2 linked regions of the Drosophila melanogaster genome follow. The protein of the gene in region 2 binds, or shares a complex with, the protein of the main gene of each other region. Each region holds a gene or a part of one and is shown on either strand. Other genes may lie near its edges.

Region 1 (3,700 bases), on a different chromosome or scaffold from region 2:
AGTCGTAGGACCAAGCGCATGTGTAGAAACTTTCATCGGTCTAACGAGGGCGTAACGATGATGTATGTAAGTAATAGCATATGATGAGTACTTACATCTGGGTCTGCGTAGACTTGCAGCAGTCGAATGCCTTCGCAGGACTCCTGTCCGGTGCTCCTCTCGCACTCATAAATGGAAACCCGATCCTTGCCAACGGTGGCGAACACCTGCGGCTGGCCTCTGTCCAGGAACGGATTGAACTGCACTCCGAAGATCTGATGGTTGTGGTCCTCGCGGACATGGGAGCTGCAATGCATCCGGGATATAAACATTATGACTTATGTTCTGCCTGGAAAAATCACACCTATATTTGTACAAGGGCTGAACCATTTTGGGTGCCTTGATCCGCCGACACAGGCGGTTCAATTTTCGTGTATTTGGCGATTTGCTTCTGGTGGTGGTCGTAGTAGTGCTGAACAAACTGGCGGTGTCCTCCCGATCCACGGAATTAACTTCGTGCTCATCATCCGGCTCCACAACATTGCAGACACTCGAGGAATTATTGCTCAGCACTGCCTCCGCTGGAGAGTGGTCAGTGGATTCGTCCTCTGCCGGTGGCTCTTCGCTCGGAGGAGATATTTCACTGGGATTCGTTTCGGTCATATCTGTTTTATTCCGGCAAACTTAAAAGCTTCTTTTGTTTACAAATTGTTTATCCCTAGAGTGACCGTCTGCAAATACTGCAGTGCAAAACAGTGTTGCCATTCTAGAGCGAAAAGACCTAAACGAACAACCCTGTTTAAATCACAATTATAATGTATTTAAAAATCTAATTTACATAATACTAGTTTGCTTAAATCTACTTCTTGGCGGCGAGCAGCTCGTCCAGGTGCGCCTCCACCTCCTTATGTGCCTTGACGCTATGTTCGGTGCGAGAGGCGGCCTCGTGGACGAAAAATCCGCGCAGTAGTTCTGCTTTTGTTTGAACAAGTTGCGCCTGCGCCTGTTGCAATTTTAGTTCGTTTGCCAACTGCGGCCCCAATTTCAATTCGGCGGTCTCCTTGAGAAGCGTGCACTTACGAGTGAGAAGCGCAACCAATTTCTCCAGACCGCTGCGATGCTCCTCCTCCAGGCGCAGAATCTCCTTTTGGTCGCAGCTTAAGTCCGCCTCCTGGCCAAAGGCGTCCGGGAACTCCTCGCGTATCCTGTCGCACAATTCGGCAATGGGTTGCAGAGTTGTGCGTAATTGAGCGGACAATTTGGTACGCACCGTCTTGCGATCCGTGTAATTCAAGGGCGGAAAACTGCTGCCGCTCGGTAGACCTGTTAGATTTCCAATGGTTATTCACTGCTTTTGGAATAAACTTGTAACGCGCCTACCAAGCACCTGCTCCTGACCAGCTCCCTCCATCTCGCCGAGTCGCGCATAACTTCCAATGGAAACCAATTTGAGGGCTCTTTTGATTTCATCACTCGGATTTGGGCCCACATCCAGGCGTCTTAGCTCGTCCAGCACTAGCTTCAGCTTGAGCACCTTCTTCAGCTCCGCATCGCGAGCCAGCCGCAAATCTTCCGAGTGTTCGGGCAAGAGCGTGGCGGATGGATCATCCATTTAGGTGGTAAAATGCTTAAATTGACCCGAAATTGATTGTTTGATTCGAATGGGCAAGCGCATGGCTGCGATACGGCAACGCTACTGAGCAACAGTGTGACCGGTAGCTACTAACGATAATATATTTTACTTATATTTTATAATGGTCACCCCAAGATTATTATTTAAAGCGCGCTAGAGAAACGAGCTAAATTCAAAAATGTTGATTACCCAAATAATTATGAAACAAATTCGAGACTATCCCATTGTGTCCACAATAAGCATTGCCGTCAGCACTGTCCTGGCCTCAGAGGTGATTTGGAAGCTGGTGCAGTGCTCGCGCAGCAAGCGAGAGAAGGCAAGCCGCGTGCACGAAGTGATCATCTTCAATGAACTGGGCGAGATCTGTGCGGCGGTGCATATGCGCAACAGCAGCATGGGATCCCAGAAACCACAAGTGTCGCCCTGCTGCAACACGCATTGTTCGCTGCGGAATGTGGCCAAGATCGTAGAGCAGATCGATCGGGCTGTATACTCCATTGACCTGGCCATATACACCTTCACCTCGCTTTTTTTGGCGGATTCAATAAAGCGGGCCCTGCAGCGCGGCGTGATTATCCGGATCATCAGCGACGGGGAGATGGTCTACTCCAAAGGTTCTCAGATCAGTATGCTGGCACAATTGGGAGTTCCAGTTCGCGTCCCCATTACCACGAACTTGATGCACAACAAATTCTGCATAATCGACGGCTTCGAGCGCGTCGAGGAGATTCGTCTGCTGAGGAAGCTCAAGTTTATGCGTCCGTGCTATAGCATCGTGATCAGCGGCTCCGTAAACTGGACGGCTCTTGGACTGGGAGGCAATTGGGAGAACTGCATTATCACAGCTGACGACAAACTCACAGCCACGTTTCAGGCGGAATTCCAACGAATGTGGCGGGCTTTTGCGAAGACCGAGGGGAGCCAAATCCAGCTCAAGTAGAAATCAATTGATTTAATGTATGACTACCAAACAGTTCCTCAGTATGCCAAATAATTATAGTTCTTATTTTCTAAGTGCCTTCAATTAAACTAAAACTTTTTAAGGCAGCTTGATCTTCACACACAAAGGAGTGCCAAATTAATTAAGCAAAACAAAAGTAATCAAAATGTATACCTAACAGTATAATCCGTATGAAATCTTTATCACTTCGATTGAGTTGACTAATTTTCAACGTGCATTTAGTTATGATCAGCTTTGACTATATATATAACTTTCTACTTTATTCATCATGTTATTGAAAGCTTTTAAGTAAATAAAAGTTAATTACAAAAAAGATTACATGTATGTATGTACAAAACATTCCGAAATATAACTGCTACAGATTTCTTTACTCTTATATAGTTTCTAAACCAAACCAACTTATCAACTATTTGTCCTGTTGCTTCAGCTTATCAGCGCGGCGCATAAATGACTCCTTTAGGCCGTTGAGTCGTTCGATTTCTGCCAGAATCTCATAATATTCCAGATAGGATACACCCGATTTCAGTAATATTTCTTGTTTTAAAGTGAGCACGCGGGCGACTTCCTTTTGCTTGCGATGCAAAGCGTTCAGTTTGAGCGAAACGGACGACTCCTTGGGCGCCTTGGACTTCTTGTCGTTCTTTGATTTCTTGGACTTCTACGGGGATCAAAATGAAATAAGTTTTAGGTCGCAAATAATTTGTTTACGTACTTTAATTTCCATTGTTTATGTGGAGATCTCCGCGTGTTAAGTTGTTATTAAGTTCGTGGTGAATGGCAAAACAAAAAATAAGAAGAAGAGTAGGCGGTGTAAGTTTAGTCATTCAAAAAGGTAATTTTAACAAAACGAATTCTAAATAAAAAGGTCCTTTTAACAAATAAAAAGTTCCGAAGTACTACATTGCGTGATAATTTAATAATTACATTCAGTTTTAATATCTTAAACAATTTCGGTGGCTTTGTGCGCGCATCACTGTGATTGGCATTTAATTTTACCGTGGCACACCTGGTATATTTCCGCTTCCCGAACTGCGGTCACACCGGCGTCTTTTTCTTGTGAAATTTTCTGTATTTTGTTGTGAAAATAATAATAAATATGGGTTCCTCGTCGTCGGGAAAGAAACACA
Region 2 (2,944 bases):
CGACTATGCGGAGCTCTTCAAGACCTTGGAAGAGTACCCGGCCAACCTGCAGAAAATGCCCAAGAAGCGGGAGCTACAACGTACCAACTCAACGCTCCTGCGAGGAGCAGACGAGTCGGTGGCCATGGGCATCAACACATCCAACGTTTCGCTGAGTCTGACGCGTCTGGAGGAGCAGCGCAGTGCCGTGGACGTGTACAATGATTTTAAGGGTTTCCAGCGAAAGCTGGCCAAGATCTACGACGAGGCAGCCGCTCTGGACACCACAGAATCCATATACAAGCAGAAGCTGACGCAGCTCCATGGATTTGCGCAGCAGCTGGAAAAGCTCATGCCAACCGGCGGTGAGTCTCCGCCAGATGCTTTTACATCCGAGCAGCAGGAGAAGCTTCTGACCATAGCCGCCAATATGGAACAGCTCAACTACCTGCGCTCCAACAGCCTCCAGCTGCCCAATCCCAATGAGATACTCGCCACCGGGAGTCTTGCCGCTCGCCTGGAGATGTTCGTAGAGGTGCTTACCTATACGCTTCTCCAAGTCAGCAGCTACAATATGGCCATGATTTGAAAACCTCGCTTAAAGAGCTTTAAATACAAATCAAATGTTTAATTTATTTAAATTATTTTTCAACTATAACATAATAATAAATTCTAAAAATGGATGAGCTAGGGGGAATCCTCGCTGGCATACTGCTCTTCCTGTGAGTTCTTCATCTGGCCCACGGTGTCGTAGAGCGCCACCAGCTTACGCACGGAGCTGCCAAGGTGCTCCACGCGATGCCTGTAGGCCAGGCAGCCCTCCAGAGCGCTGTATGTCTCCTCCCGCTGGTCACTGCTAGACATGAGCAGCTTGAAGTTCTCCAGGATCTTGGACAGGGTCATCTCAGCCTCCGGCCTGAGGTTGTACATCTTCTGGGTCTCCGACAAAGCCACATTCTGACTGAATGCCTTGCTGTTGGACTCGATGTGGAGCAATGTGTTGTTCGACCGCTCCATTATCTCGTCTATCTTAGCCAGCTGGCGGTTCATGGTCTGCCGATTGGCCGCTGAAATTGGAAGCACGGAATAGAACGCGTGTCGGTGGTTTAAAGATATATTTACCCATTCCCGCCAACATTTTGTCCACAGCGTCTGACATTTCGAATATTCTGTTTGTAATGCTAGCAGATTAACGTGACCGTCGCTGCGTATCTAAAATACACAAGGCTTTCTAAAACAATCGAAAGACCAACGTTTCTATCGAAATTTAAATTTAACCGCCAGTACTAAATGACTCGTTTATTTATTTGGATAGTTAATTTATTAGCTGCTATTCCGCAGTTAATTATAGCCCTCGTGTACAATTGCTGACTACAAGTTAATTTAACGTTTGGTTTATTCAGTTGATCAAATTGTATTTGACTTGTTTTCTATTTAAATTTAAGTGTAATCCGTTCAATGGCTTGCATTACAATTACAATTTACTCGTACACATCCTCCTTGTCGGCGACGTACTTAATAATGTCGGCAGGTTTAAGCAGCTTCTCGGCATCAGAGTCGGGGATCTCGAAACCGAACTCGTCCTCCATGGCCATGATGACCTCCACGTGGTCCAAGGAATCCAGTCCCAAGTCGTTGATGAAGTGCGACTCAACGTTGAGCTGTAAATGCGAGCCATTAGCATTGGGTATTCAAAGGTTTCATCAGCTTTGTTCAGTTCTGATTTCTGAGGCGACCATTGCACTGGCAAAGGCAATATGTGGCGTTTACCTTGCTGGGATCGATCTTGTCGTAGAGCTTGAGCACAAGCAAGACGCGCTCATTGATCAGCTTCAGCGAGAGCGGCGGTTTCGCCGAGTATCTGCGCACCAATTGCGTTTGCCAGCGACCACGGCACTCCTGGTTTTTGGCCGGCCCGAGAAAAAAAGGAAGGAAACAAAGACCGGATTAGTGGCGCCATGCAATGGGTACTTTACCTTTTCGGCGGTCACTTTGTCGTAGGCGGAGACAACCTTTAGCACGCGGAACTTGATGTCCTCGATGGTGCTCTTGGCCGAGTAGCTGCGCACACCGAACTTCTGCGAATGTTAATGTCTAGTGAATTTTCGTCTCTATATGAATAATTGCATTGGTAGTTCATCTACGACTTATGGTGCATACAACTTAGCTAATTCTTCAATGAGCAGTGTAAATATATACGCAATTTAAACGAGGGTGGTTCGATGGTGTATGATCAACTGATTAAATACCGCGAAAACTATTGCTTGGATTGGCGTGGAAACATATTTAGATATTTAACAAACTGAAATCACATGTTTTAAAACCGCTACATTTTAAGGTCACTTCTAGAGGATTTTCACTGTAGTACAATCAACCGCACACAAGTGCGAGCACCGGTGTTGCAGGTGTATGTGTGTGTGTGTGCGATAGGGAAACAATCATGTTTTATGCAAAATAATGTGATGCAATCGAATTGGGTGGTTCGACGGCCACATGGCGAGGATCTTCTGTTGCGTTCATGATTGCAAGCACTTAATTGAATGTTTTGAAACTCGTAGATCACGAAACCCCGCCGTTTGCGATGAGGTTAGGTCCTCAACTGCGATTGGGGCTCCTGCAACGGAAGGGACCGCTTTGGACGTTCGCTTACTTGGCTCAACTGGCTGGTCATCGATGGCACGGCGATCCTGTGCATCATCCTGGAGGCCTGTGATTGGATGAGAATGCCGGAGGCGACCCTCCTTGGGGCCAAAGTGGCCGCCAGTCGACTGCAGCTGCGCGCGATCTGTGTGAACGACATCTCGGTTCTCCTGCAACGGAAACGCAGCGGGTTAGTATCGCATCTCTGCAGACGGTGCACGAGTGCAGGTCTCGTATTTTGGGCGATATTTACGCTGAGTTTTCAAGATTATGTAAAAGTGCTGGAGCAAGAAAAAGACAGCAAGGTAGCAGTGTGACCGTATGC

The links. Proteins that work in one complex are often made in the same cells at the same time.
Region 1: msd1 (region 2) and dgt2 share a complex: the UniProt entries of both Drosophila melanogaster proteins name them as parts of the augmin complex.

The regions. Positions count from the first base shown.
Region 1 is NT_033779.5:11,987,915-11,991,614, reverse strand, and holds dgt2 (dim gamma-tubulin 2), read right to left. Parts: upstream 1,680-3,700; 5' UTR 1,592-1,679; coding exon 1,360-1,591; intron 1,303-1,359; coding exon 839-1,302; 3' UTR 643-838; downstream 1-642. Other genes in the region: escl, read right to left, coding at 1-40, 96-285, 344-642; zuc (zucchini), read left to right, coding at 1,791-2,552; CG34163 (uncharacterized protein), read right to left, coding at 2,980-3,231, 3,286-3,297; CG6686 (uncharacterized protein), read left to right, coding at 3,670-3,700. UniProt on the Drosophila melanogaster protein: As part of the augmin complex, plays a role in centrosome-independent generation of spindle microtubules.
Region 2 is NT_037436.4:1,329,976-1,332,919, reverse strand, and holds msd1 (mitotic spindle density 1), read right to left. Parts: upstream 1,177-2,944; 5' UTR 1,139-1,176; coding exon 1,102-1,138; intron 1,047-1,101; coding exon 667-1,046; 3' UTR 594-666; downstream 1-593. Other genes in the region: msd5 (mitotic spindle density 5), read left to right, coding at 1-568; ND-ACP (NADH dehydrogenase (ubiquinone) acyl carrier protein), read right to left, coding at 1,461-1,640, 1,750-1,878, 1,971-2,057, 2,630-2,779. UniProt on the Drosophila melanogaster protein: As part of the augmin complex, plays a role in centrosome-independent generation of spindle microtubules.